Callithrix jacchus: one gene and its partners. The protein of the gene in region 1 interacts with the protein of each later gene in a pairwise test. Links are inferred from orthologs where the notes say so. Each region holds a gene or a part of one and is shown in the gene's direction. Other genes may lie near its edges.

The links.
Region 2: the proteins of NRIP1 (region 1) and CIB1 interact in a two-hybrid assay, tested with the Homo sapiens proteins (2 studies listed by BioGRID and IntAct). The link is inferred for Callithrix jacchus from reciprocal best matches to the Homo sapiens genes NRIP1 and CIB1.
Region 3: the proteins of NRIP1 (region 1) and ESR2 interact in a two-hybrid assay, tested with the Homo sapiens proteins (2 studies listed by BioGRID, with this or other methods). The link is inferred for Callithrix jacchus from reciprocal best matches to the Homo sapiens genes NRIP1 and ESR2.

What each region holds. Positions count from the first base shown.
Region 1 is NC_133522.1:21,967,925-21,977,963, reverse strand, and holds part of NRIP1 (nuclear receptor-interacting protein 1), read left to right. Parts: intron 1-3,502; 5' UTR 3,503-3,829; coding exon 3,830-7,297; 3' UTR 7,298-10,039. UniProt on the Homo sapiens protein: Modulates transcriptional activation by steroid receptors such as NR3C1, NR3C2 and ESR1. Also modulates transcriptional repression by nuclear hormone receptors.
Region 2 is NC_133507.1:19,350,405-19,361,085, reverse strand, and holds CIB1 (calcium and integrin-binding protein 1), read left to right. Parts: upstream 1-3,711; 5' UTR 3,712-3,837; coding exon 3,838-3,888; intron 3,889-4,015; coding exon 4,016-4,050; intron 4,051-5,376; coding exon 5,377-5,485; intron 5,486-6,197; coding exon 6,198-6,348; intron 6,349-6,487; coding exon 6,488-6,606; intron 6,607-6,674; coding exon 6,675-6,763; intron 6,764-7,178; coding exon 7,179-7,200; 3' UTR 7,201-7,422; downstream 7,423-10,681. Other genes in the region: SEMA4B (semaphorin-4B), read right to left, coding at 9,444-10,183, 10,420-10,505. UniProt on the Homo sapiens protein: Calcium-binding protein that plays a role in the regulation of numerous cellular processes, such as cell differentiation, cell division, cell proliferation, cell migration, thrombosis, angiogenesis, cardiac hypertrophy and apoptosis.
Region 3 is NC_133509.1:98,951,865-98,962,485, reverse strand, and holds the start of ESR2 (estrogen receptor beta), read left to right. Parts: upstream 1-3,628; 5' UTR 3,629-3,874; intron 3,875-4,318; 5' UTR 4,319-4,523; intron 4,524-10,621.

The sequences.
Region 1 (10,039 bases):
TCCGCACATTCACTGAGAGCTTCAATCCTGGGTTGTTCTCACCATGCCATCTTCAGTCCTCCCCCACACAGTGATTCTTATGCATACTATGGTACCACCTTTTCTAAACTAAAAATGTTTGTTTTATAATTCTCACTGGAAAATCTTGAAACAATCTTTAGAATATTTTTCAAGTCACACTTAATTTTTTAGTTTTTTGTACTTGGTGATGTAATAGTCATGTGAAAATGTGAAAAGAAATAGCATGAGAAGAGAATTCTATTATTAGAGGTATTCTAGAAACTTAGAGGTAGATGTTCACCTTGCCTGCTTCTCTAGATGTTGCCTATCACATCCCCCTTTTAAAATGAACATAATTCACCAGTCCTAAGACAGGTCTCAAAGCAGATTGGGAGTTCGGTAAGAATTTGTTGTATTGATTTAAATGAAATAAACAATTGAATATTTAGAATGATCTTTGCCTTGTCATTTCATATAAGTGATGAACTTACAGTGTGTGATTTCAAATTTGTGATGTGAATTATTTTAGTTTCTCAACTCCCTATAGTTTTGGAGTGTGAGAGAATGTGTGCATTTGAATATCAAAATCCCTTCCTTTCTACTGGGAATTTGGTCGTTTAATAACTTGAATGTATCCCAAGATTCAGGTATATATTGACTGTGTTGCACTGTACTAATTATCATTAGCACGGTCCTCAGACCCAAGGAGCTTAATAAAATTATTTGTATGTTATTTTTTGTTATTGAAGTTAATTGTTTTCATATTTAAGAAATTATTATTTTCAACCTGAGAAAGCTGATTGCCAAAAAAAGAAATGATTATTAAAAGATGATTATTCTTGGAAAGGCTGGAGAGGGATAACATGGGAAGAAATGCCAAATAGAGGTGACAGGAGGATGGAAGCAGCACACTACCTTTCCATGTATGTACTACGCAACAATCCTGCATGGTCTGCACATGTACCCGAGAACCTAAAGTACAAAAAAAAGTAATCAAATTTAAAACAAAAACGATTATTCTCAATATCTGTCATCTACTTTCTCTGCTAAGATAGGAAATAAATGGTAGATAGGTAAATAAATGGTAAAATATAGTATTAGAGCCCCTCTACAAAGAAACTGTGGTAATTCCTTTTTAAATTAACTTCCAAATCTGCTTTGTAAGTTCAGAAATGTGTAAATTTCATCTTTTTAAAGCAATGAATAATACTTTGCAACTTATATTATGCACAGTAAAAAGCAGAATAGAAATAACAGGAGTTAATATGAACTTAAAGATGCTCCTTATTTCATTCTTATGCTTCAATGAAGTATATTTTAAGGCTATTTACAATGACATATATTTTACAAACCAGTTTTCAAATGACTGATATGATTTTTCCTTTCTTGAGTTCACTCAAGAACAAAAAGGTTGACAGTGGTGTGGAGAGAAATACAGTGGATTTGCATATCCCATTAAATGGTTATTAAATGTCTTCATTAGTTGAGAATTAATTGTATATTAACAGTTTTTTTGGGGGGGTGGGAATGGAATGTTGATCTGTTAACCAGGCTGGGGTGGAGCAGCGCGATATAAGCTCACTACAACTTCTGCCTGCCGGGTTCAAGCAGTTCTCCTGCCTCAGCCTCCTGAGTAGCTGGGACTGCAGGCACGCACCACCATGCCTGGCTAATTTTTGTATTTTTAGTAGAGATGGGGTTTCACCATATTGGTCAGGCTGGTCTTTAATTCCTGACCTCAGGTGATTCACCATCCTCGGCCTCCCAAAGTGCTGGGATTACAGGTGTGAGCCACCCTGCCTGGCCATATTAGCAGTTTTTTAAGAGAATTAGAAAACTGTTTCCTCAACTCCAAGATGTTATCAGTTGTAAAATGTACTCATGTTTTATACTACTAAGAAAAATAAGCCTCTGATTAAGCAACATGCCATCAATTGTAAGATATATACCTATGGGGGAAAAATAAGTAGTGTTTAGCTGAGATACCTCCCTACTTTCTGAAAAACATATCAGGGTTTTATTAGTAAAGGAAAATGGGAGAATGGATATTGGGTGAGAGTTATCATCATTTAATTTCCATATCATTATAAGCCTCTTAAAATGTCCATTTTAAGTACATTATGGCAAATCTTTTTAAAATAGTGGCATTGGGATCTTAAGAAACTCTTTTCTCACCTCTTTATACAATTGAAATTTATTTAATTGTTGCTGCCTCCTTTCTATAGCTTTTTCTTTGGGTATTGTTTTTATCATTTCAATCAATTTAACAATTTGATGCAATCAGATAATTCTTTCCTAAAGTTTGACTTAGAGGTTAGCATTTTACCCAAAAAGCTACAGGGTAGTCTCTAAATTAGAATTTATCTTTTCAATTCCATAGGGACCAAGGTATTTGTTGGTAGAACTGAAGAGATCTAATAACCAGAACAAAATGTTCTGGCTTCTTGAAAAACAATCTTCATGGAATTTATTCCAGCTTTTCTTCCAAAGGTGTAATGGCCCCCTTCCTTAGGTCAATTTTGACACTTCTCTATCAAGTTTTCAGAAATGTAATGAGTTCTTGCTTCTTCTGTTGTATATGTGTTAGTGATAGGGGATTGTTCAGTATCTTCTTAGATAATATCATTGGAATATTTTTCAAACTGTGACTAAAATGTCTTTGGCATTTTCCATTTTATGCCCTCCCTGTCTTCTGTATCTGTAAGGAATGGACGTGACATTAAGACTTTTCCATAGAACACATGAGTAAGGATTAAATAACAAACTATATGAAATCCTTGATAGCCCTGAACAAGCATCTAAAGGGCATCTAAAGAATTATTCTACTCCATCTTTAATAAGTCATGGTAAAAACTATGGGTAGGTAAGTTTATGACTGTATTTTAATGTTTAGGAATATCATTAAGATTGTCACACTTTGAACAGGCTCACAAAATAATCTTCAACTTGTTAGTACTTTGATTTTTTTTGAAAAACAGAAATTCTAAAAATCACTTATGGGATATCTGGTGTTTGGGGGATGATGTCTGAAGTGAATCTGTTCTGTTGGCCTCAACCCCACATCAGACTCATCGGAGTCTGCATCTCTTTTTCTTTTTCTGCACATCTACTTTTGTTTCTTCCTAAGTGACCAGTAATGTAGGAAGCAACTTTTAGCTCCCCTATAGAGCTATAAACCTGTAAAGGAGACTTAACATTCACATTAATTTGCAGAAAGGTGCTTATGAAAATTCAGAGACTTGGCAGGCTTTGGAAGACGTTTATATAACATTAAAGAATGCTCTCTTCTCTAAATGATTTGATCATTTTAACAGTATAGATTAACCCACAGGATTTCTAGTAGAGATTTTCATTTGAATAGAATGGCAATAAAACAAATTACTAAGGTGACTAATGATATGTATATATAAACTTACAAATGCCATATTATTTTGCTTGTAGGTATCATGACATGATTCTAGTTCTGCACCTCCTTAACTATTCTTATTTTTATTTTTTTTAGAACACTGATATTTGCATTTAATGGGGAATAAAAGATGAAGAAGGAAAAAGAATATATTCACTAAGGATTATATCTGCTTACTGCTACAGACCTATGTTTTAAGGAATTATCCTCCTTTTTGCTTAGAAGTTCATCAGCTCTGTGGTCAGACTGCATTTATCTTGTCATTGCCAAAAGAAATCCTCATCAGAATGTAAGAGTATGTCTCTCTCTCAGTGCTATGGAAGGTGATAAACTGATACTCAGTTATTAAAGTTACATCTCACCGCAGAAAACCATTCTTCAAAGTGAATAGAAACCAAGCCCTTGTGAACACTTCTATTGAACATGACTCATGGAGAAGAGCTTGGCTCTGATGTGCACCAGGATTCTATTGTTTTAACTTACCTAGAAGGATTACTAATGCATCAGGCAGCAGGGGGATCAGGTACTGCCATTGACAAAAAGTCTGCTGGGCATAATGAAGAGGATCAGAACTTTAACATTTCTGGCAGTGCATTTCCCACCTGTCAAAGTAATTGTCCAGTTCTCAATACACACACATATCAGGGATCTGGCATGCTGCATCTCAAAAAAGCCAGACTGTTGCAGTCTTCCGAGGACTGGAATGCAGCAAAGCGGAAGAGGCTGTCTGATTCTATCGTAAATTTAAACGTAAAGAAGGAAGCTTTGCTGGCTGGCATGGTTGACAATGTGCCTAAAGGCAAACAGGATAGCACATTACTGGCCTCTTTGCTTCAGTCATTCAGCTCTAGGCTGCAGACTGTTGCTCTGTCACAACAAATTAGGCAGAGCCTCAAGGAGCAAGGATATGCCCTCAGTCATGATTCTTTAAAAGTGGAGAAGGATTTAAGGTGCTATGGTGTTGCATCAAGTCACTTAAAAACTTTGTTGAAGAAAAGTAAAGTTAAAGATCAAAAGACTGACACGAATCTTCCTGACGTGACTAAAAACCTAATCAGAGATAGGTTTGCCGAGTCTCCTCATCATGTTGGACAAAGTGGAACAAAGGTCATGAGTGAACCATTGTCATGTGCTGCAAGATTACAGGCTGTTGCAAGCATGGTGGAAAAAAGGGCTAGTCCTGCCACCTCACCTAAACCTAGTGTTGCTTGTAGCCAACTGGCATTACTTCTTTCAAGTGAAGCCCATTTGCAGCAGTATTCTCGAGAACATGCTTTAAAAACACAAAATGCAAATCAAGCTGCAAGTGAAAGACTTGCTGCTATGGCCAGATTGCAAGAAAATGGCCAGAAGGATGTTGGCAATTTCCAGCTCTCAAAAGGAATGTCAAGCCATCTTAATGGTCAGGCAAGAACATCATCAAGCAAACTGATGGCTAGCAAAAGTAATGCTGCAACATTTCAAAATCCAATGGGTATCATTCCTTCTTCCCCTAAAAATGCAGGTTATAAGAACTCACTAGAAAGAAACAATGTAAAACAAGCTCCTAACAATAGTTTGCTTTTACATCTTCTTAAAAGCCAGACTATACCTAAGCCAGTGAATGGACATAGTCACAGTGAGAGAGGAAGCATTTTTGAGGAAAGTAGTACTCCTACAACTATTGATGAATATTCAGATAACAATCCTAGTTTTACAGATGACAGCAGTGGTGATGAAAGTTCTTACTCCAACTGCGTTCCCATAGACTTGTCTTGCAAACACCGAGTTGAAAAATCAGAATCTGACCAACCTGTTTCTTTGGATAACTTTACTCAATCCTTGCTGAACACTTGGGATCCAAAAGTCCCAGATGTAGATATTAAAGAAGATCAAGATACCTCAAAGAATTCTAAGCTAAACTCACACCAGAAAGTAACACTTCTTCAATTGCTACTTGGCCATAAGAATGAAGAAAATGTAGAAAAAAACGCCAGCCCTCAGGGAGTACACAATGAGGTAACCAAGTTCAATACACAGAATTATTCAAGGACTTCTGTGATAGAAAGCCCCAGTACAAATCGGACTACTCCAGTGAGCACTCCACCATTACTTACATCAACCAAAGCGGAGTCTCCCATCAATCTCTCTCAACACTCTCTGGTTATTAAATGGAATTCCCCACCATATGCCTGCAATACTCCATCTGAAAAGCTAACAAATACTACATCTAACCACTCAATGGACCTTACAAAAAGCAAAGAACCGCCAGGAGAGAAACCAGCCCACAGTGAAGGTGCACAAAACTCTGCAACTTTTAGTGCCAGTAAGCTGTTACAGAATTTAGCACAATGTGGAATGCAGTCTTCTGTGTCAGTGGAAGAGCAGAGATCTAGCAAACAGCTGTTAACTGTAAACACAGATAAACCGATAGGTATGATTGATAGATTAAATAGCCCTTTGCTCTCAAGTAAAACAAATGTGGTTGAAGAAAATAAAGGATTTAGTAGTCAACCAACAGTTACAGAACCAGGACTTTCTGGTTCTGAAATAGAAAATCTGCTTGAAAGACGTACTGTCCTCCAGTTGCTCCTGGGAAACCCCAACAAAGGTAAGAGTGAAAAGAAAGAGAAAACTCCCTTAAGAGATGAAAGTACTCAGGAACACTCAGAGAGAGCTTTAAGTGAACAAATATTGATGGTGAAAATAAAGTCTGAGCCTTGTGATGACTTACAAATTCCTCATACAAATGTGCACTTGAGCCATGATACTAAGAGTGTGCCATTCTTGGGTATGGCTCCTGCTTTGCAAAGAAGCACACCTGCCTTACCAGTGTCCGAGGACTTTAAATCGGAGCCTGTTTCACCTCAGGATTTTTCTTTCTCAAAGAATGGTCTGTTAAGTCGATTGCTAAGACAGAATCAAGATAGTTACCTGGCAGATGATTCAGACAAGAGTCACAGAAATAATGAAATGTCACTTCTAGAATCAAAGAATCTTTGCATGGTCCCTAAGAAAAGGAAGCTTTATACTGAGCCATTAGAAAATCCATTTAAAAAGATGAAGAACAACATTGTTGATGCTGCAAACAATCACAGTGCCCCGGAAGTACTGTATGGGTACCAGGAAGAGCTGAAATTGAGCAGAAATGATCTTGAATTTAAATATCCTGCTGGTCACAGCTCAGCCAGCGAAAGTGAACAAAGGAGTTGGGCCAGAGAGAGCAAAAGCTTCAATGTTCTGAAACAGCTGCTTCTCTCGGAAAACTGTGTGCGAGATCTGTCCCCGCACAGAAGTAACTCTGTCACCGACAGTAAAAAGAAAGGACACAAAAATAATGTGACCAACAGCAAACCTGAATTTAGCATTTCTTCGTTAAATGGACTGATGTACAGTTCCAGTCAGCCCAACAGTTGCATGGATAGCAGGACATTTTCATACCCAGGAGTAGTAAGAACTCCTGTGAGTCCTACTTTCCCTGAGCACTTGGGCTGTGCAGGGTCTAGACCAGAATCTGGGCTTTTGAATGGGTGTTCCATGCCCAGTGAGAAAGGACCCATTAAGTGGGTTATCACTGATGTGGAGAAGAATGAGTATGAAAAAGATTCTCCAAGACTGACCAAAACCAACCCAATACTATATTATATGCTCCAGAAAGGAGGCAATTCTGTTACCAGTCGAGAAACACAAGACAAAGACATTTGGAGGGAGCCTTCATCTGCTGAAAGTGTCTCACAGGTCACAATCAAAGAAGAGTTACTTCCTACTGCAGAAACGAAAGCTTCTTTCTTTAATTTAAGAAGCCCTTACAATAGCCATATAGGAAATAATGCTTCTCGCCCACACAGCACGAATGGAGAAGTTTATGGACTTCTGGGAAACATGCTAACAATAAAAAAAGAATCAGAATAAAATGTACCTGCCATCCAGTTTTGGATCTTTTTAAACTAATGAGTATGAACTTGAGATCTGTATAAATAAGAGCATGATTTGAGAAAAGCATGGTATAATTGAAACTTTTTCATTTTGAAAAGTATTGGTTACTGGTGATGTTTAAATATGCATACTAACTTTTGCTTAACATTAGATGTCATGAGGAAACTACTGAACTAGCAATTGGTTGTTTAACACTTCTGTATGCATCAGGTAACAACTGTGAGTAGCCTATGAATGAAATTCTTTTATAAACATAAATAATAGGCATAAATTAAAATGTAAAATTCCATTCATAGTGGATTAATGCATTTTGCTGCCTTTATTTAGGGTACTTTAGTTTGCATTTCAGAAGTCAGCCTACATAACACATTTTTTAAAGTCCAAACTGTTAAACAAGTCTTTAAAGGATAATTATCCAATAAAAAAAAAGCCTACTGCTGATTCACAGCTTATTATCCAATTCAAAACCAAATTAGAAAAATATATGGTTACATTTTTCACTTTTGCTAAAAAAAAAAAAAAGTGTTTATTTTTAACTCTTGGAAGAGGTTTTTTTGGTTCCCAATGTGTCTGTCCCACCCTGGTCCTTTTCAATATATATTTCTTTAAACCTTGTACTACTTAGTAAAAATTGATTACAATTGAGGGAAGTTTGATAGAACCTTTAAAAAAGGCAGATTTCCATTTTTTGTATTTTAACTACTTTACTAAAACTCCTCGTTTTACAGAATTAGAAAAGTTAACATTTATCTCTAGGTGGTTTCCTGAATAGTTCAATATTTAAGAAATTGTTTTTAACAGAAGCAAAATGGCTTTTCTTTGGACAGTTTTCACCATCTCTTGTAAAAGTTAATTCTCACCATTCCAGTGGTACCTGCAAGTCTTATGACCAGGATTCCTTAAAGCTGAACTCAGACCACTTGCATTAGAACCATCTGGAGCATTTGTTTTAAAATGCAGATTCATAGGCAGCATCTCAGATCTACAGAACAAGAATCTCTGCAAAGTGGACCTGGAATCTTCCATCTGCATCTTAACACGCTCCCTAGGTGTTTCTTCTGCACCTTGATCTTTGAGAACCTTGGCTGATGACTTTCCTCAGAACATGAGAGACTGTAAAACAAAAGCAAAAACTATCTGATGCCTCTATTTTCCCCAGTACAGTCACATCAGCTCAAAATTTGCAATATTGTGGTTCATATATTACCGTGATGTCTTTGGAAATCGGGTTCAGAATACTTTTTATGACAAAAAAATTGGGTGGAGGGGACAACTTTCATATCTGGCTCAACATCTCAGGAAAATCTGTGATTATTTATGTGTTCTAATGAGTAACATCTACTTAGTTAGCCTTAGGGATGGAAAAACAGGGCCACTTACCAAACTCAGGTGATTCCAGGATGGTCTGGAAACTTCTCCTGAATACATCCTTAACCTTTATTAAAACCATTGTCCTAAGAACAATGCTAACAAAGGTTACAACATTTAGTTCAAACCCAAGAAAGGCACTAAACTCAGATTGACTAAACAAAAAGTACAAAGGGCACATATTCATGACAGAATTGTACACAATCGCTCCATGGGACGTATTATTTTAAAATGGTAATGAAAAATAAATGTTGATACTGTCTTAGAAGAACTTAATGTATTATTGAAGCCACATGGGGTTTCAAATTTGAAACAAGTCTCTTTTTATGTTCAGTTTGTACAATTCACAATTCATTCACCAGATACTTTATTTTTAATTGTGAACCAGGTTAGCAAATGACCTCTCAAAAATTATTCTATAATCACTATTAGTTAGAAGGAAATTGATTTAAAATTGTTCTACTTGAAGTGGTTTCTAAGATTTTTATATTAAAATTGGGTGTGATTTCCTATTATGATCTAAAACCCTAAATGGTTATTTTTCCTCAGAATGATTTGTAAATAGCTACTGGAAATAAGAGTGGGTACTATGCAGCATCATGGAAAAGTGAAGGAGGCATAGGCTTATTCTGACATAAAATTTCACGGGCCAGTTGAATATATTCTACTCCATGTCCATACTGTGACAATCTTACTGTCAACACTATATAAATAAGCTTTTAAGCAAGTCATTTTTCTTGATCATTGTGAAAAGTCTGGAGCCTTAGAGGTATGTCAGAAAAATATGTTGGTATTCTCCCTTGGGTAGGGGAAAATGGCCTTTTTACAAGAGAGTGAAATTTAGGTCAGAGAAAAGACCATCAAGGGCCAGCATTGCTATTTTTTCTTTTTGTGGATTTTGTTTTGTTTTTTGGTTGGTTGTTTTCATTTGTTAACAATTAAAGGAATGAGAATATGTAATACTTAAATAAATATGACCACAAAGAATGCTGTTCTGATTTACTAGAGAATGTCCCCAATTTGAATTTAGGGTGATTTAAAGAACAGTGAGAAAGGGCATACATCCACAGATTCACTTTGTTTATGCATATGTAGATATAAGGATGCACATATACACATTTTCAAGGACTATTTTAGATATCTAGACAATTTCTTCTAATAAAGTCGTTTGTGAAAGGGTACTAAAGCTCTCATCGACATCAGTAAGGTAGCATTCATTACCTGTTTATTCTCTGCTGCATCTTACAGAAGAGTAAACTGGTGAGAGTATATATTTTATATATATATATAATATGTATATATATATATTGACTTGTTACATGAAGATGTTAAAATCAGTTTTTAAAGGTG
Region 2 (10,681 bases), on another chromosome or scaffold:
CTAAGCATAATTTGGCTGATAATATGTAATATCTTATTCTCAGCTCACTGCAATGTCCGCCTCCCAGGCTTAAGCGTTCCATCTGCCTCCCAGGCTCAAGTGATCCATCTGTCTGAGCCTCCTGAGTAGCTGAGACCACAGGCACATGCCACCAGGCCTGGCTAATGTAATATCTTTTTAAAAAAAATTATCCCAACCTCAGTACCAAAATGTAGTATCTTATTCTACCAAAAGAAAGTCTTACCTGACAGGTAAAAAAATTTAAAATGAGATAATAAAAATAAAACAAAACCAAAAGAAGGAGGAAAAAAAAAAAGAATCTTAGACATGTTTTCAAACAAGATATAAAGATGGCCAACAAGCACATTTGGGATGTTTAACATCATGAATCAATAAGGAAATACAAATCAAAATCACAGTGAGGGCTGGGTGCGATGGCTCACACCTGTAATCCCAGCACTTTGGGAGGTGAAGATGGTACATTTGAGACAAGCCTGGCCAATATGGTGAAACCACATCTCTACTAAAAATATAAAAAAATTAGCCAGGTGTGGTAGCGGCCACCTGTAATCCCTGCTGGGGGGGGGGGGGAAGGGCTGAGAAAGGAGAATTGCTTGAACCCAGGAGACAGAAGTTGCAGTGAGCTGAGAATGCACCATTGCATTCCAGCCTGGGTGACAGAATTCCGAGACTCTGTTTAAAAAAAACAGGTCAGGCGTGGTGGCTTACGCCTGTAATCCCAGCACTTTGGGAGGCTAAGGCAGATGGATCACCTGAGGTTAGGAGTTTGAGATCAGCCTGGCCAATATGATGAAACACCGTTTCTACTAAAAATACAAAAATTAGCCAGACCCGGTGGTGCATGCCTGTAATCTCAGCTACTAGGGAGGCTGAGTCTGAAGAATAGCTTGAACCCGGGAGGTGGATGTTACCATGAGCCAAGATCACATCACTACACTCCAGACCAGGTGACAGAGTAAGACTCTATCTAAAAAAATAAAGTAAAATGAATAAACAAAATAAAAAATAAAAATATATCAGCAGCTCGGAGTTTTTTTTTTTGAGACGGAGTTTCGTTCTTGTTACCCAGGCTGGAGTGCAATGGCGCGATCTCGGCTCACCGCAACCTACGCCTCCTGGGTTCAGGCAATTCTCCTGCCTCAGCCTCCCGAGTAGCTGGGACTACAGGCACGCGCCACCATGCCCAGCTAATTTTTGTATTTTTAGTAGAGACAGGGTTTCACCTTGTTGACCAGGATGGTTTCGCTCTCTTGACCTCGTGATCCAACCGCCTCAGCCTCCCAAAGTGCTGGGATTATAGGCGTGAGCCACCGCGCCCGGCCCCAACAGCTCGGTTTTACCACTGTATCAAGAGTTGATCAGGTACGAGAGGGACAATATGCTAACCAGATTCACCAAGGACCGCCAGATGATTCAGACTGCCTATTTAACAATTTACGATAAGAAATGTGCCAAATGGCACAAAAGGTTCTTGCTGGCTGGTCAGTGTACAAAACCTATCAGGAAGCAAAATGAAAACCAGAAGGTTGTTCCCTGAAGGATTAAGAGCCCAGTGAGGTGGTTGAGATATCTAGATCACAGCTAGTCACCAGGCACTAAGCTGATTCTCTTGTCTTCACTATACAGAGGTACTACCATGTAGTGCAGGTATTCACCTTGGCTTGTAAGAGACCAACAAGGTCCCTATTCTTAAGGAAGTGCAGTACAGGAGACATAATGACAGCTTCCTGCTTTTTGCCTAAGCTTTTAATGACAAGACCAACTCTTTCTTGGACTGAAATACCTGCTATTAACAGAAAAATGATCATGTTGGGATGGCCCTACAATCTAGTTATCTTTTTTTTTTTTTTTTGAGACAGAGTCACTCTGTTGCCCAGGCTGAAGTTCAGTGGCACAATCTCAGCTCACTGCAACCTCTGCCTCCTAGATTCAAGGGATCCTGGTGCCTCAGCCTGCTGGGTAGCTGTAATTACAGTTGTGTGCCACCACACCTGGGTAATTTTTACATTTTTAGTAGAGACAGGGTCTTGCCACGTTGGTCATGGTGGTCTCAAACTCCTGGACTCAAGTGATCCACTCGCCTTGGCCTCCCAAAGTGCTGAGATTACAGGCATGAGCCACCACGCCCGGCCTTGAATATTTCTACAATGATGGAATGCATGTGTTAACACAATGGGTCTTACTAGACACATGCTGCCAAGGAGAAGCACTGGATATTCTTCAAGTGCAAAGTAGATTCCTAGCCAGTCTAGAGAGTCAGGAAAAGCTTCCCCGAGAATAAGATGGAAGAGGGACTCAGAGCCCATAACGGCTGAAACACAGAGAGCAAATAGGAGGAAGTTCGGTTACAGAGGGCCAGGATTTGGGTTAACCATTTAATGGTTATAAGCTGAGAATGACACACTCAGATTTAGACTTTACAAAGATGAGCAACTATAATGGATTGAAAGGATCAAGAGTTAATCCCAGCCTGACCAACACAACCTCCACTTCCACCTCCCAGCAGTTTGGCGTCCTTACCTTTTGCAGTAGAATACGTTCATTCATTCATTATGCATTTGATAATATTTACCGAGAACGTACTATGTGCCAAGCATTGTCCTAGAGGTTAAGAGGGGACCAGAGCAAAAGGGTCAGCTTTGATCTCTATAGCCTAGGGCATACAGTCTAGGGGTGGGATGGGGTCAAAGGATGGCATGTCAGCTGGAATGATGCAAACAGCAGTGGAGAGCCTTGAAAAGTGCCTTGGAGCCGGGCGCGGTGGCTCACGCCTGTAATCCCAGCACTTTGGGAGGCCGAGGCAGGCGGATCACGAGGTCAAGAGATGGAGACCACCCTGGCCAACAGGGTGAAACCCCGTCTCCACTAAAATACAAAAATTAGCTGGGCATGGTGGCGCGCGCCTGTAGTCCCAGCTACTTGGGAGGCTGAGGCAGGAGAACTGCTTGAACCCAGGAGGCAGCCAAGATCCCGCCATTGCCCTCCAGCCTGGAGCCTGGCGACAGAGGGAGACTGTGTCTCCAAAAAAAAGAAGACAAGTGCCTTGGACTGGATCAATCACTTTCTAAACGCCGGAGCCCGGACACATCACTAAATCCCTCTGGACTTACGTATTTCCACCTTTGTAAAATGGATACCTACCTTGCAGTCGAAGAAAACTATGCACACTGCTTGACATCCAGTAGGTCCTCAGTAAATAGCCTCAGAAGGAAGCAAGGTTCGGGTTACTTCTGGAAGAGGCGGCTTGGGGGCTGCGACAGGTGCCTCGATTGCCTGATAACGTCTAGAAAATCCTTGCTGGGCAGAGGGGCAGCCGAAGACCCCGGCCACTCAGCGAGTCTCCAGGTTTCCTGTAAACGTCAGCTCTAGTGACTTCTCAGATGCCCCTATGGGACTCCACACAGGGCTGCCGCCGCCACCACCTACAGCAGCCGAGGAGGATACACCGCGCGACCTTCCCGGCAGCGGCTGCAGGGACCGCTGCCAGGAAGCGACGCCCGTGACGCATGCGCAGCCAGCACGCATGCGCGCGGTGTGGCTCGTCCCGCCCACCCCGGAGGCGGGGCCGTGAGGCCTGGGCTCTGCCCCGGGGCATCAGGCCCCGCCCCTTACCCCGCCCCCAGCTCGCCTGGGACCGCCCGGAGCGGGGAGCTCGCCTGCCAACCCGGCTAGGAGCGCCTGGGCGCGTTTAGGCGGGGGCGGTGGCCCCTGGAGCGGTTGCCGCGGGGACCGGGCTGAGACGCGGCCCAAAGGCGGAAGTGAGAAAGTTGTCGGCGTCTCGAGGCGAGTTGGCGGAGCGTTGCGCGCGGCGCGGCTATGGGGGGCTCGGGCAGTCGCCTGTCCAAGGATCTGCTGGCCGAGTATCAGGTGCGCGGGACGCCGGGCCCTAGGGAGTCGCGTGCCGGTCTGTTCCCGGGCGGGGTCCGGGAGCGGCGGCGGGGCGGTCACGGCCTCCCGGCGGCCCGATAACCCCCGCTCTGGCTTTGCATTCCAGGACTTGACGTTCCTGACGAAGCAAGAGATCCTCCTGTAAGTGCTGCCTTGAACCCCGCCTCTGATCCCGGGCTCCTCTAGAGGCGGACTCGCGGGGGGCGCTGTCCCAAGGGAGGGGCGGGGGCCGGCCTGAGGTCGGCTGAGGGGCTGGGGCTGGAGGCCGGGAGACCCTGCCCGGGCTGCGCCCTCCCCGCCCTCGCCGGGGGCTCTGCGTGGCAGCCTCCGAGAAAAGTTAGGTGCTCTTTGACCCTGAGCTGACTAGCTTCATCACTGCCGAACTTCCTGCTCTAGTCCGGCAGGGGCCGGCTTTGCGCAGTGGCTAAGCCACGGAAGCCTTGGGGAGTCTGGCTCCTTCTCCCAACTTGACCTGAACAATACAGGAACCGTTAACGCTTTCTGAGCACTCACCTTGTGCCAGGGACTGTGCTAAATGGTTGCCTGCATGACCTAATTTAATCTTTAGGAGAGAGGTACTGGACAATGAAACAGGTTCAGAGAGGTTTGCTAACTGCCTAAGACAACACTCTGAGCAAGTAGATTTGAACTTGACCTGGAAGCCCTTTTGCCAGATATATGCAGGGCGGGCACTTGAGTGAGGAGATGCCTGGGCTTCCTGCGCAAAGATGATCTCATGGGAAGGAGATGGAGGCTGAGGAGGAGGACAGTTCAGGGTGGCTGCTAAAAAGGAGGTTTTGAAGGCAAGAGATCCCTGGAGTGGAGGTGATAATGAGATTTTTGGTTTTGTTTTTTTCTCCCTGTATGTATGTATGTATGTATGTATTTATTTATTTATCAAGACAGAGTCTCTGCCCAGGCTGGAGTGCTGTGGCACGATCTCTGCTGACTGCAGCCTCTGCCTCCTGGGTTCAAGTGATTCTCCTGCCTCAGCCTCCTGAATAGCTGGGATTACAGGCACCAGCCACCATGCCCGGCAAATTTTTGTATTTTAGTCGAGATAGGGTTTTACCATTTTGCTCAGGCTGGTCTCAAACTCCTGACCTCAAATGCTTTGCCCACCTTGGCCTTCCAAAGTGCTGGGGTTACAGGCGTGAGCCATAGCACCTGGCCAGTTCTTTAGGGCCAACTTCTGGCTCCATCCCCAACCTCTTTATCCCTCGGGGATCTCTAGAATCAGTGCCCAGCACATAGTAGATGCTCAGTAAATACTCACCGTAAGACTAGACTCCTAGGCTGTACAGCCTCCTGACATGTCCTTTTGCTTACTGTTGCCTGATGACTGGGAAGTTCTATGTACGTGGTTTCAGCTCCTCACTTGGTTGATGAGCAGCAGGCAAGGAGTGGGAATGAACACACAGGGACACCTATCGCTGAGAGGGCCAACCGTTCCCCTCTCTCTGCCAGAGCCCACAAGCGGTTTTGTGAGCTGCTTCCCCAGGAGCAGCAGAGCGTGGAGGCGTCACTTCGGGCACAAGTGTCCTTCGAGCAGATCCTCAGCCTTCCAGAGCTCAAGGTGCCAGTGCTCCCCTCCTTTGACCCCTCCCTCACCACTCCCTCCCTGCTAGACCCCCCTAACTCCATCTGCCGCTAGCTTTGAGATCATGAGGTCACTGGTCCCCATTCTGGTCATTTCTCTGCTTAGTTCTAATTTTCTGGGGGCAAGGACTTTACTAATATCACCTGGCAGAATTCTCTAGAATGGTGCTTTTCAAATGGGGATTCTAGGACATATTCTTGGAAGTTCAAAGAAGTTTTGTCCTTTAAGAGGAGTTGAGTTACCATATTAAGGTTTGAGGAACCCTGTTCTAGAGGGTGATTGCAAATTCACAGGGCTGTTGTGAAAATTTTGTGCAAAGGGTCTGAGCCAGGGCCTATAACACAATAGGTGTTCAGTTAACCATTCGTGTTTTAAAATAACCAGCCCATCTCGTTCCCTTTGCTTAAGATGCCTTCTTCTTCCCTCTTTGCTCACACTTAGGTTGTACATGACCTGCCTTTGGGTTAAACACTTGACTCCCAGGAAGCTGTCTCAGTCCCTTCCCCAACTGGCTCAGTTTGCCCTCCTGTGCCCCCATGGCCCTGCATGTTGGCCCCAAAGCACTGATCATTCACCCTTGAGAGCCTGAGCTCCCTGCTGCTGATCCTATGACCTGCTCTCCCAAGTTTCTAATAGTGTTTGATGAGTGTGTGACCTGGGCCACGTCCTATGGTATTTGTTCTCCTAGGCCAACCCCTTCAAGGAGCGAATCTGCAGAGTCTTCTCCACGTCCCCAACCAGAGACAGCCTTAGCTTCGAGGACTTCCTGGACCTCCTCAGTGTGTTCAGTGACACAGCCACGCCAGATATCAAGTCCCATTATGCCTTCCGAATCTTCGGTGAGAACCAAAGCCCGGTGGGACACCACCCTTTCCCACGTGGGCTTTGTGGTGGCCATGCTTGGGAAATGGGCACCGTTTGTGGAACCTCAGAGCCCCTCCTGACCATGTCTTTTGGCTTCCTGTGTCTGCTCTCTAGACTTTGATGATGATGGAACCTTGAACAGAGAAGACCTGAGCCAGCTGGTAAACTGCCTCACAGGAGAGAGCGAGGACACACGGCTCAGTGCGTCCGAGATGAAGCAGCTCGTTGACAATGTGAGCAGCTGGGCCTGGGAGCGGGAGGGAAGGGTTGTGGCTCTGGCCTGAAACTCTCCCTTCCCCAGATCCTGGAGGAGTCTGACATTGACAGGGATGGAACCATCAACCTCTCTGAGTTCCAGCACGTCATCTCCCGTTCCCCAGACTTTGCCAGGTACAACAGTGGTCCCCCTGCCTTCTGGGCACCTGCAGGTCCCAGCCTAGGACATTGCTACAGGAGGTGGTGCCAGGGGTGAGAGAAAGCCCTGGTCCCCACACCCATGGCCGGCTAAGCTGGCAGTCTCACCCCGGGCAGGGGCGGCTCTTCTTGTCAAGGCCTCTCCCCTTCTCACTGCTATTGTCATTGCCCTGTGTTTGTACCACTTAGTAATACAAGTTTAGAAGCTCTGACCCTGTGTGTGGGTCCAGAAGCTTCCTCTGGAAGTCTGGGGGAATTCTTCCAGAGGGGACTGACTCACACAGACACAGCTCGTTTCAAAGAAGGGGCTAAAGGGAGAAGGGGCGAGTTTGGGTTTAGTCCCTCCCCTCCTCTTCCAGCAGAAAACTCACCCCACTTTTCTCTTGTTCAGCTCCTTTAAGATTGTCCTGTGACAGCAGCCCTGGTGTGTGTCCTGATACCCTGTCCAAGAACCTTTCTGCTGCTGAGCTGTGGGCAAGGTCAAGCTTGTGTTGCCAGGGTGGGCCAGGCGGGCCCAGCCTGGAGCTGGCACTGTGCAGCCTCACCCGGTCAAGGGCGGCCTCCTCGTCAGGGCCGCTCCTCTGCCATTGCCCTGTTTGTTTGTACTAATCAGTAATAAAGGTTTAGAAGCTTGACCCTGTGTGTGAGCCGAGTTACACTGGTATGAGGAAAGACTGGACTTCTTTTTTTCGTTTTTTTTTTTTTTTTTTTTTTTTGAGACGGAGTCTTGCTCGTTGTCCAGGCTGGAGTGCAGTAGCGTGATCTCGGCTCCCTGCAATCTCTGCCTCCCGGGCTCAAGCAATTCTCCTGCCTCAGCCTCCCAAGTAGCTGGGACTACAGGCACACCTCACTATATTGGCCAAGATGGTCTCGATCTCTTGACCTTGTGACTCACCCGCCGCAGCCTCCCAAAGTGCTGGGATTACAGGCGTGAGCCACCGCGCCTGGCCTGGACTTCTCTTCTAGCAGCCGTACCTCATCAGGAATTCCAGCAGGAATGAGCAGCGTACAGAGCAGGGGCCAGTGGGAAGTCAAGCCGCACCATGCCAGCTGTCCTGTGGGACGGTTGAGGACGAAGGGGCAGCATGAGGGGGGTGGTCTCCTGTATCCTGACTGGGGTGGTGGTTCGATGACTCTCTGCATGCCAAAATGTCAAGAACCCCATCAATAAAGTCCATTTTACTGCATGATTTGAAAAATTAAAAATTATAACAAAGGGCCCCCGTCACATCCCTCCTGTGTCGCTACCCCTGCTAAACCAAATCGGGGATGTAGAATAAAGGGGTTGAGGTCACCGAAGTCAACCTCCTGCCTCTGCCTATCAGTGGGTGAAGCTCCCCACTCAGAGCTGCTCCACAGGGAGATGTCACTGGCCAGGCTAGGCTGACTTTGGCTCACCTGAGCCTGCAGAGGTGGCTCAGAACCCCTCAGAACTCAGAACGAGACCAGCCTCAAAAAGCAAGTGTCCTTTAAGAGGAAGAGCCAGGATTAAACAATAATTCTGCAGACTTTATTAAAAAAAATGACATAAAGTGCATTGTATTAAAAATACATATAAAATCCACATAAATTCAGGACCCCTGCGCTGGGCAGTGTTTGATATCCCTTAGAGTAGAGGCAAGTGAGGGATGAGGGGTGAATTGAGGCCTGGGGAGAGGACAGGGTACGGTTAGTTCCTTGTGTTTGAGTTCCACAATGGAGCTAGGGTGCATGTGGTAGGAAGGGCACACGATTCTCAGGCTACGATGCAGGAGGCAGGCAATAGTCTCTTCTTGAATTCTGAGGGAAAGGCACACACTGTCACTGAGTCTCTCCTGAGCTCACGCTGTCCTCTCCCTCATGTGGCCACAGCCTGATACAGGCCGGAAAGGTCCAGGAACTGAGTTCAAGCCCAGGACCTGGTGAGGGCCGCAGTGCCAACCCAGCCCTCTGGTCCCTGAGGTGGTGGGATGATGGCAGCAACAATGACATCCTCCACTGGCACGCGGGGTCTGAGCTGGTCCTGGATCCTTGATGGCTGGCAAGGCAGGATGCACACAGCCCAAGCTGGTTCTGGATTTTTAGCCAGCCGGCTGGCAAGGCAGGATGCACAGACCCCGAGCTGGTTTTGGATCCTCACAGAGCCCGAGGCGGTCCTGGATTCTCGGCCGGCTGGCAAGGCAGAACACATGGAGCCCGAGCTGGTCCTGAGGTCTGCAGTGAGACAGGGCAGCTTGTGGCAGCGGAATAAGGCGGAAGGTGAAGAGGCCAGTTGGTGAAGGTTTCCAACTCTGTCTCCACAACTCTGGACGCATCTCCAGTGGCCTGGGAAGCCATGAACTTCAGCAGCCAGTGCGTGCCATTCCACATTGTCTCTTTCCTCTCTAGTTTCACATTTGGAATTGTTTTTTAAACAAAGGCTCAGTTTACGTAAGGAGCACTGTTCCACCCACCTAGGCAGGTGCCCATCTTTGGCCAGGACCTCTGGCGCCACGGCTGTTCGGGTGTCTTGGTGGTTGGAGCCTCACTACTTGATCAGAGAGCAGCAGGCCAGCTGGCTCCCGAGGACTGGGCACCGCTGCTGTATTCCACGAGGAGCTGGAGCGGAGGTCCAGTTGACCCTCTCCGAGCATTCACAGCCCCTAAAGCCAGGGCAGCGTCCTCTTGAAGTCAGCTCTCATACCACAGAGTCACGGATCTCCGAGCCGAGGCGGACCCGGGGCCGGGGGCACATTGGGGACACCTCCACAACGCTGTCTTTGATGCTAAGCGGCCGCTTCTCTGACTCGGAGAAGACTCGGGCCCCTGGGGGGCTGTCTGACAGGGCCTGGTAGCCTCGGTGATCAAGTGGGGCGCTCGGGGGGCCTAGGCCATTGAGTGGGCGGGTCTCGGGGGGCAGGACCACAGGGCAGGTCTTGGGGTGCACGCTGGCACATTCCCCCTGCTTCAGGAAGACTTTCATGCTGTCCCGGTGCCGGTAGAGAAGGAATAAAAGTGCAAACAGCACGGCGAGCACAAAGAGCGTGCACATCACCAGGAACTCCTTCCAGTAGGACTTGTCTGCACCCAAGCTGGCCCGGCCACCAGCTGGTGCACTCACACGTGACGTGTTGATGATGACAGGCACACTGGCATCCCCATCTGTTTGGTCTGCTGCCCTGTCCTCCACCACCTCTGGGCAGTAGCTGGCTACCAGCTGCTGGAAGCCCTCCTCCAGCGACCAGCACTGGAACTCCCCAAGCTGTTGGCTGCCCACCAGCAGCAGGTCCCCAGTGGGCAGCACATGGCAGGAGGCTGAGGCATTGACAGGGGCCCCGCTGAACAGCCAGAGTCGGGTCGCCAGGTTGGAGAGGAGCGGGCAGGGCAAAGTGTTCACCGTGTTGGGCTGGAACTGGACTTGCTCACAGGGCTTCTCAGCTGCAGGCAGAAAAGGCATGAGGTAGGGCGGAGCCAGTATCCCCTGCCTCCCTCTGGACTATGCCCCTGGTGCCATGATGGGCAACTCGGGGGACTCCTGGGTCTGAGTCTTCCTGGGGCCCTGACTACAGGGCTGGGGCAAGGATGTGAGGAAAGGCGTTTACAACATCTGTGCCTGGGGGAAGTTCCAAGCAGACTTGTCCCCACCTCTCTCCACCCTTTGAGGGGTACCTCACCTATTGGTACAAAAGATCGACCCATGACTGGAGAGCTGCTGCAAAGGTCCTTGGCGTTGGCTCCCTCGATGTCCTGGATCCATGGCCTGAGGACCAGAGAGAGTCTGGGACTGGCCAGGAAGTCCCCTGCGTCCGCATTCCCTCACCCCTCAGTGCAGACTTGGGCCTGGACAAAGGCCTTTCCTGAGCTGATTCCCGACATGAAGGAATCAGCATCTCCTCTGTCTACACGTTATTTCAAGTAAAAACTAAGATAACAATT
Region 3 (10,621 bases), on another chromosome or scaffold:
AGTTTCTCTTCTAGCTGGAGAGAATTGTTCAGAGTTGGAAGTAAAGCCAAAAATGTGTATTCTTCATGTTTGATTGCAAATGCATAGAAAATTAGAAACTCAATATATGCAAAAGATTTATGTGGAATTTAAGTACCTTCAAGGGGCAGTGGACAGGATAAAAAGTTATTTTTTACCTGTTTGTTTATAATTATCAAATATCAAGACTGAGACAAATGAGGTTGATTTAGAAAGAGTTGGCTGCAGGTGCTGGTTGCTCAGGTGGTTCATTTAAACTGCAGGTCAGTAACCTTGTCTCATGGTTCTGGTGCTCAGGTATCAGGTTAGGTCTATCTTTCTGCTTATGTCCTTTGTTACCCTCTGAGGACTTCAGTCCAACACAGATCAATAAAGAATAAGTTACATAAATATGCTCATAGATGGTCATTCCTAGAAAAGAAATTGCATTCAACAATATCTGGGTTCTACAGAACAGACATGCCTCCATTTATGCAACAAATAAGAAAAGTGTCTCAGTGACAGTGGGGAAAACACGGGATGTGCAGGTATGTAGGTAAAGTTGGGTTGGAACTTTCACTCTGCCGCATGCATGTGGGTGACCTTATAAAAGAAATGTTTGCTCTCTAAGCCTCAGTTTTCCCATCTGTAAAATAGACAGTCCTGGGGAATTTTTGAGGATTAAATGAAATAAAAGTGAATCAACCTATGCAAGCCTGACTATTGTGGTGTCCAGGCTAGAAAGATGCTCGATAAATATTAGGTTTGTTTTTATTTCTACAAAAAATGTGATCCTTAAGAGCTCCATCCAAATTCAAGTTTCAAATGTCAAATCACATTTTGCGAACTTTGGTTCATGTTCAGTTGAGGTGACCTCTGCATTATGAATTAGTAATCTCATCTTTCTTATTCATCACCACCAAAAGTATTATTGCAGGTTCAGTGAATCTCCTTTCCTTTATTAAGTCCATAAGGGTAGGGTTTTATCTCTTAGATTCTCTTAAAACAGACCAATTTATGCCCACATAATATGAATAAACCCGTTCCTATGATACTCTGGAACAGATAAGAGTATTCCAGAACCCATATCCTCCTGCTTGGCCTCAAGCTCAGAGAATAAAGCAATAATCCAAAGGCACCTTTAGGCATGACACCCTTCTAGACATCTGTAGGATTCCTTCTTCCCCTCCACTTTTCATCTTAGCTTTTGCATTCCTGCTTTTGACAGAGTTTTATTTTGCCTCTTGGTAGTTTCTTTCCTACAGAAAATTTTGCCCCACTCTTTCCCCCTGATCTTTCCAAGTCGAAGCCTTCAGCAAATATTTGTTGAATGCCTGGATTATGCTAGGTGGGCGTTATGGACCACGGAAAATGCTGGAGATATAAGACATGCACTGTCCAATCGCAGCGCAGGTTGTGTTGACAGGTAAGATGAGGGCTTTGGGGAGGCAGTGTGCACGTTCCACTGGGCCAATGTGCTCTTCACTTTATTCAGGCTCTTGGCTTTGGAATGTATAAGACTTCACTAGACAGAGAAGGGGCGGGATGGGAAGATGAGGAATATGAACCTTCATGGAGGGGCTTTCCTTCCTCTTCACTGCAAAACATACCTGTCCCATATTGACTTCCTTTGCTTTCCCAGGTAACATTTAGCTCATCTTACTAATCATAAATGCTAGTAAATTAGTATTACCCATTATATATAACATGACTGAATTTTAAGAATTCAATGCCTTATCCCCAAACTATGACTTAATGGTGAAGATTTCAGTCCCCATTGTAGGATATTTTGTAAGCAGGCAGTCATTTCAATGTAGTATGTGGGTGCCTCCTTAGGCAGGTCAGGGGTGAGGTGGAAATGAGGCTGGGACCCTGCTGAGTAGAGGCATTGTCTTCAATACCAGGCTTCAGGGTGCTTTTTGGTCTACCCATTAATATGAACTACCTTGAGAATAATCCCTTCTTTGCTGTGGTCACAATTCAGGTAGAATTGGAATAATCATCCTCTTCACTCTGCATTAAACCAGGCAAAGGTTCCATCCCTGGGTACCATTGTCTTTCTTGATAGAAGGGTGAGTCAGAAGAAAATTTACTCACTCCCATTCATTTTCTGCTTATTATTTCCTGCAGTGAGCTTTCCTTGTATAATAAACAGCTTCTGTGGGTGTCTGAGTTGCTCTAGAAAGAGAACATGCTGTTCCTGTGTGTAGAATGCCTTCTAAAGGAAGCATCACAGTGAACACAGAGTAGAAGCTTGCCTCACAGGTGGCAGGAGTTTGTCTGCAGTGTTCTGCATAGAGCAGAGTCAAGCCACCTTCACTTCTGATTGCAGGCATGAGGTAAATGGGCCCTTGGTCTCTCTCCTGGATTCAAGTCCTTCTTAGCCACTGATAGGTCATGTGACCATAGGTAGGTTGTTTAACCTTCCTGATCATTCATTTTCTCAAGTATAAAATGGGGATTATAGAATTTGCCTCACAGGCTTGCATATAAAATAAGAATTTTTGAGAGTGGGGCATAAAATGTCCAATAAGTGGTAGCTCTCTATGAAGCCACTGTTGTTACTGGGTTCCTTTCTCACTATGTGGCTTCAGGTAGCTGATAGAAGCTCTGTGAGCCTCAATTTCCTCATTTGAAAAGTGGAGTCAATATTATCTCACTGAGCTGGTATGAGGATTAAATGAGATGCTGTGCAGGTGCTTAGCACATAGTTAGGTATGATGTTGATACTGATAGATGTGTTTTCTTCACCCTCACCCATCTTTGCCTGTTGGCTCATGGTTGAAATTCCTTCACGATGGTTTCCATTTCCAGAGATATCTTGTTAACAAGTATACACCACCAAACGAAGTTGATTTTTTAACCCATCATTTAACATTTTCTCCATAAGGTGGCAAGGAGAAGGGAGTATATGGGGACTGGGTACCTTGAGAGACCCCAAGACGGGACAGAGAGGCTGAGATTGGCATGTTGTCTGCTGCAGTTGCTTGCCAGTGACACACTCTTCCTGTCCAAACTAACTTCTCTGCCTCAAGGAAAGACTGCCTTTCAACCGGAGAGAAACCAGAACTCACAGCTTTAATGAAAATTGGACTTGGAGTGGGGCAGTGGAGACTTTTCACAGCCACTGTTTAGCTGAAGAAGCAGGTGCTTCTCCATCTTTGGAGCCTGTCTTCACTACCTGTGGACCTCATCCTTATCAACCCAGAACCCTCTCTCTATTTTGGCTAAACACCGAACAACTGAGGCTGGCCCTGTAAAATGTTCCCTCCAAATGCCCCCTTGGTTTTCCTCTATTAAAGATCTGGATCACAACCCTCAAAAACCACGTCCCTTATGCCACCTGAGTAGATGGTTTGATGATTAATTAGGCACAGATGTGACACGAGTCTCACAATGGCCCGTGGGTCACATGATACTTTCCTTTTCCTTTTCATCATCGTCAGCTGCCCTAAAGCCAGTTGAGCCTGTGGTCCTAGTCTCACAACCTGGGGGTCCTGGGGTGTGTGAGGGGAACACCCCATTAAGCTCGGGGAACTGGGGCTGCCACCAGGGGGCGCGAGGGTCCCTCATCTGAGGAGGGAGTGGGCAGGCGCCTCCAGGGGAGAAGGGCACCGCAGCCGGAAGCACAGGTCTTCGCGGTGCCACTTCCACCAAGTGAGTTCGAGGAAGTACCTGGGATCTTTGATATAACGCCAAAGGCCTTTCCAGAGAGCTCTTGAAGAGCTGAGAACCCAAGCCTTCCACCTCTAGTTCACGGCTTTGCCACTCTAGGACCCGAGGTTACGTTTGCTGCTGGGGATCTGACAAACCCAAAGCCTCTCTGGTTTCACCACTGGATCCTTAGAATCGGACTTCTGTACTGAATGGCACCCATGTAAGTCAGGGGAGTCAGGAGCTGGGGACGTGATCATCGAAGTATGGTCCCCAGACTGGCTGTATCAATGTCAGCATCTCCCAGGACCTGGTTGGAAATGCATGTTCTCGGGCTACTCCAAAACCCTTAATATGAGACTGGGGCTGCGGGGAGCGCCATCTGTGCGCCACTGTCCTTGTGGGTGGACCAGGAGGCGGCTCAAGGGTGCTCCCACTTCGGGGTCACGCGCGGCGCCGGGTGCTCCTGAGACCGCCGGGCTCCTCTGTGGTCACGTGGGCTTAGGCACTACTCCCCTCTACCGTCCTCTCGGTCTTTAAAAGAAAAAAGGGGCTTATCGTTAAGTCGCTGGTGATCTTTTCAGTTTCTCCAGCCGCTGGCTTTTCGGATACTCACTCCCCCGCCCGGAGGCAGCTGCGGGAAATAACTGCCTCTTGAAACTTGCAGGGCAGAGAGCAGGCGGCGAGCGCTGGGCTGGGAAGGGACCACCCGAGCTGCGACGGGCCCCAGGGCTGGCGCTCGGAGCCGGGGCTGCACGAGGAGCGCTCGCTTTCAACAGGTGGCCGCGGGGCGCGTGCCGGGAGGCCCCTACTGCGGGAAAAGCACGTGTCCGCATTTTAGAGACTGCAAGGCCGGTGTGTTTATCCGCAAGGTAAGCGCCCTTTCGCTCAAGGTGTGATTTCTCATTTTGTTTGAAATCCTGCGATGAGAAACCAGTCATGTTGAGAACAATAAAAGACCAAAAAAAAAAAAATCACCAAAACCAACTGTATTGCAAGCTGCCGGAAAGATGGAAAATACTTTTGATCATGCTTTGATCAAATGTCTCTATTCAAGATACCGGCAAGTTAACTTATTTAGTTTGTGCTTGTGAGCTCTGGATTGATTTTGCTAATATGAATGTCTGGGAAAAAAATTGCTTTTTCTCTGGTTTTCCTCGGTGGATTTCCCCAGTGTAGATGAAATGACTGTTGAACACACTTTCTGATTGAAGTTTGAGGACCTGGGAAGATGTACATGTCTCAAACAGATGATAGGGGTTTTTTAATGTATTGGCATTCCTCAGCCATGTCAGCAAGCTGAGTTCCTCCTTTCCTGGGCTAAGCGCTATCTGGTATCCTTTATTTGCTGAAGAGGGGTCCAACTACTGCCCTCTAACCCCCTCCGTGTTATTCTTATTGGAAGGGTAATATTAAGTCAAGTAAATGTCATTTTTGTGAAAAATAAAACTTCGAATGGACTTCTATTGAGGAAGATAAGGTCGATTTAATTTTACTTGCTGTTTAAAAAGCAGAATTGTGTTTTGGTGTGGTAGGCAACACTTGGGAGGAAAGAGTTTGCCTTATTTTGTTATATTTCTAGTATTTACATGGGCATTCCATTAGAAAGTTTTCCTTTTGCTGTAAGTTTCATAACTCAGTGTCTAGTTTCCTCTGTGTGAGGGGAAAGATGTTTAAAAAGTGAACATGTGAAAGGAAAGGTTTTTCTGAGAGTGTTGTGAAAAGCAAATGTACTATGACTATGAAAACATGCTTCACATTTTCAACTATTTTTTTCTGAAGAAAATCAATATATTTTGGCATAAGTTCTAGAAGAAGGAAACTGTAAGGATCTGTTCATCAATAGGCATTAGAGCATACACCTTAGGATTGCATTTTACGTTCAAGTCTTTTTTTTTAGATGAATTTCTTGAACATTCTCATTTCAAAAGCTATCAGATGCTTGTAGCACTTAAGTTTTGCTCAAGACAGAAGTCTCTGAAATCAATTAACATGTTTAGGACACATTTCATAGTGTTCTGAGGGATGTGAATAAATCTAATCACCATTTACACTTCTCAAAATGTATTTATAATTCAGAAAAGGTGAATTTAGTAGTAAATTCAACTTATAACCATTTAATTAACATTTAATAGATATTGATATGGTCACTCTTAAAAATAAGACATTGACATTTTCTATAAATGATTCAACATGTAATGATTCAAAATACATCTTGTGATAATTTTAGGTGATGTTTTGAATCATTTTGTAGAACATGAATATGAATAAAATATAAAATACTGAAGGCTGAACTTGAAGTGTTTACTAGTAAATTTTTGATAATACATCTAGAACCCTTGAGAATTGTATGCTTGAACATTAGATTTCATAATTCAGGTGTCCAGCATTTTGTTTTACATGTAATAGTACTTTTAAATAATTAGGCTACTGCAGTGTAACTTGCATACAGTAAAATTTAGCCTCTGTAAGTGTACCTCTGTGAATTCTGACAGATGCAGTTATATAACCAGCACCACAGACAAGACACGAAACAGCTCCATCGCCCCAAAAGTCCCCCATGTACCTCTTTGTAGTCAACCCTCTCCACCTACCCCACTGCCCCTGAAAATCACTGATCTGTTTGCTGATTATGTAATTTTGCTCTTTTTTTTTTCCAAAATGTTATACCACAAGTTTTGCTCTTTAGTATGTTTTTACTTATGCATATTTTCCTTTCTTCACTTTTCTTGAAAGAAAAACCTGTTCTTCTGTTTTTATAGGCTGAGTCTGTGGTATTTTTGTTTGAATTCTAGTACCTTGGGATAAATTAAGGCAAAGACAATGCTATTTGCAAATGGGAAACTAGAGACTTGAGCTAAGTGTTAAATTCATATTGGTCTAACAGATTTAGTTCTTAGCAGATTTAGATTCTATTGCGGTTTAAGCCTTTGGTTATGGTATATTATCATTGGTTATCCTGAATTGAAATAGGCTATTAAAAGTTGTTATTTATATCATATTAATAGCACCATTCTGTTCCAATCTTTGAAATTTAAAACTTATTTCTGTATTTGAAAAAACTACTTTCATTATACCTCAGATTAAGAAAGCTACACCTGAAATTGCATATTATCAAATAGTGAGAAGCAAAAGAGGGATTGAAAACAACAACTTGAAGACATTTAAAATGCAGAGTGATTACGATTGCTCAGGGTAAAATATTTATCTTCATAGGAGCTTAGGTATGTACCCAACTTACTTGTAGATGTCAGGATTTTTAAATTTCTGTGCTCATGCCTTGAAGTCTAGATTTTCCTGCAGGGTGCAGATGCAAAATCTTTTGTAAACTAATAGTTTTTCTTGTTTAATACAGTATTTAATTCACTATACAGTTAGGAGCCTGTTATTGGTAGTTATTTCTAATATATATATGTGTGTGTCTATATATACACATATAAAGTAGATGTCTTTTTCCTTTTTCTTTCATTCTGTGAAAAACAGTCTCAGCTGGGTATGGTGGCTCATATCTATAATCCCAGCACTTTGGTAGGCTGAGGCAGGTGGATCACAAGGTCAGGAATTCGAGACCAGCCTGGCCAACATGGTAAAACCCCATCTCTACTAAAGATACAAAAAATTAGCTGGGTATGATGGTGCACTGTAACCTCAGCTACTTGGGAGGCTGAGCAGGAAAATTGCTTGAACCTGGGAGGTGAAGGTTGCAGTGAGCCTAGATTGTGCCGTTGCACTCCAGCCTGGACAACAGGATGAGACTCTGTCTCAAAAAAAAAAAAAGGAAAACAGTCTGTGTTTTAAATATGTAACTTACCTTGCATACCCAGTTACAGTGGTAGTAACTAGGATATGCAGAGTGGCAAGTTTATGAGGAACTAGTTGGCCTTTCTAGCTGGAATTAAGACAGGTCTTGAAAATGAAGGACTTTTAGTGGAGAATCTTTGTGTGGGTGTACTTGACAGAGGGCAGGAGAGTTAGGGTGACCTGGAAAAACACTGCTGGACTTGTATATGTTTCCTCAAAGCCAGACTGCAGCATTTTGTTGGTAAATTGTTTTGTGTTCTGTCAAACCCAGGGTTGGAAGGAGGTGTAGTGCATTCAGCCTAACTTTGGATTGGCCATGTTATCTTGCATCTCTTCACTCAGAATTCTCTCTAACCCTGTCCCAAATGAATATTTGAATTTGGTTCAGTTTCTGCAGAGCATTGTCTGTGGCTGTTGTGGGTATTGGGGAGGAGCAGAAACTTGCTATCAAGAGAAAAGACAGATGAACTCTCTCCCATGCCTGCCTTTGAGGCTTTGTCCTCTTACCCTATTCAAGCCCTCAAAACTATTTCCTATCTAAATAAGCACCAATTGGTTACTAGGATAATTAGCTTTTCCTCATTTTGGAAGGAAACAGGGTTTCTTGATATGCATGTTCTTAAGAATTACATGCAAAACAGTTTTTTTTTTTTTTTTTTTAGACTTGCTCTTTCACCAAAGTGCTAGGCTGGAGTAGGGCAATCTCGGCTCACTGCAAAAGTCTCAATATTTTGTTTTGAAAGAGTATATTGAAAGAGGCCAGGAGTTCGAGACCAGTCTGGGTAACACGGTGAGACTTGATCTCTACAAAAATTAAAATATTAGCTGTGCATGATGGTGCATGCCTCCGCCTCCTGGCTTCATGCAATTCCCCTGCCTCGGCCTCCCAAGTAGCTGGGACTACAGGCATGCACCACCATGCCCAGCTAATTTTTGTATTTTAGTAGAGATGGGGTTTCACTATGTTGGCCAGGATGGTCTTGATCTCTTGACTTCATGATCTGCCCGCCTCAACCTCCCAAAGTGCTGGGATTACAGGCGTGAGCTACCTCGCCCAGCCACCAAACAGTTTTTAGTGATGAGTTCTGTGGTGATTTTGGAGTGTTTTATCTTCCTAATTAATATTAAATTGATTAAAAGTCTCAATATTTTGTTTTGAAAGAATATATTTAAAAAGGCTGGGTGTGGTGGCTCATGCCTATAATCTCAGCAATTTGGGAGGCCTAGGTGTGTGGATCACTTGAGGCCAGGAATTTGAGACCAGCCTAGCCAAATATTGAAACCCTGTCTCTACTAAGAATACAAAAATTAGCTGGGCATGGTGGCTCATGCTGGTAATCCCAGCTACTCAGGGGGCTGAGAATTGCTTGAACCTGGGCAGAGGTTACAGTGAACTGAGATCGTGCCACTGCACTCCAGCCTGGACAGCAAAGTAAGACTCTATCTCAAAAAAATTTTTTTAAAAGGGATACATTTAAAGATAATAACTGGCCAGGTGTGGTGGCTAAGGCCTGTGATCTCAGCACTTTGAGAGGCCAAGATGGGAGGACTGCTTAAGGCCAGGAGTTCAAGACCAGTCTTGAACTGGTAACACAGTGAGACTGGATCTCTATAAAAATTTAAAAATTAGCTGTGCATGATGGTGCATGCCTTTAGTCCCAGCTATTGGGGAGCAGAGTTTGGAGGAGCCCTTGAGCCCAGGAGGTCAAGGCTGCAGTGGGCCATGATCTTGCCACTATACGCCAGCCTGGGTTACAGAACAAGACCATGTCTCAAAAAAAAAAAAAAAAAAAAGGCTAATAGTCGCCTAACAGCTACTTACACACATCAAGGATTCTTGTTGCTTAAGAAATCTTTTTAAATTTTTACCATGAAATTCCTTCTAGTTTCTACTTTGTGAGTGTGAAGTTTTTACTTCTATAGGGCACATAAATGTGAGATGATTGAACTGAATGCTTGGGAAAGTGTGATGGGCAGGTGGAAGAGGAACAGGGATGAGCTATCAGAGTCTTCCTACTCTGCAAGCTTGAGAATATGGGATCAGGAATATGTGGCATTTTGTCCGCACACACAGTGTTGTCAGGCTCCCAGCTATCTGGAATCTAGGGGTGATGGATTTCTGTAGAACAGAAACCAAAAAGTAAAATTAGGAGGCAGAAATCTTCAAGGTGGCCAAAAGACATTGTAACTTGTCTGGAAATTCCAACCAACACTATATGTGTATCCAATGACATACCAATAGTCTGGCACATACCATAGTCTGTGTAATAATACCTTACAGAATCCTTTCACAGACATTATCTCATTTCATTCTCAGAGCACTGTGAAAAGGCACAGCCCCAAATTGGTACCTGTTTCTACTGAAAATGTGGCAGAGCTCAGGGAGTTTGTGGATTTGTCTAAGACTGCCTGGCTTTCAGGCAGAGCTAGGGCTACAGCGAATGTTCTGCTTTGGCCACTGATAGAAATATATATAAGAACAGGCTTGATGGTGGCTGACCTCTTATTAACTAGATTTATAGGTGCCTTGATAAAAATAAGTCTAGTCTTTTTGGAGTGTCTTTCTGCCATTTCTAGGGCCAACCTTTTTCTTCTTGACAGAATGACTGTCAATATTTGGAATTTTTAATATTTTTGTTTTAGTTCAAGAGCCATAATATGTTCCCCAGCTGGTACAGTAGAACACCATGCATAATCCCATGTGTACAAAAAGCTTTATGGCTGAATTCAGATGTGACTTGAGAGGGCCAAACACAGGTGTGTGTGCTGGGGGAATGAGAGAAATCTCTAAACAGAACACAAGGGCTGCTCACCACCCAGGATGGGGACCAACTATTTTAGGTTATGGTCACTAATTAAAGAAAATTGACATGTAAATAAATAATTTTTAGAATCAGGATACTGGGTACTGGTTCTTTGGTTGCCCAGGTGAAATTCCATGCCAGGCACAACAATTAAACTCTTTAGAGACCATTTTTTCCTGTTGTACCAGACATTGTGGTTACTGAGGCCACATCTGGATATTTAAACGATGTATTGGGAAACTCTCTACCCTACGATGTTAAAGAAATTCCATCTTTTGGGGAGTCTTTCCTTTGACCAGTTTATATCTCTGTTTTAGAGTAGGACTACTCACCCAGAATGGATTTGTTTATTCATTTTTCTAGAC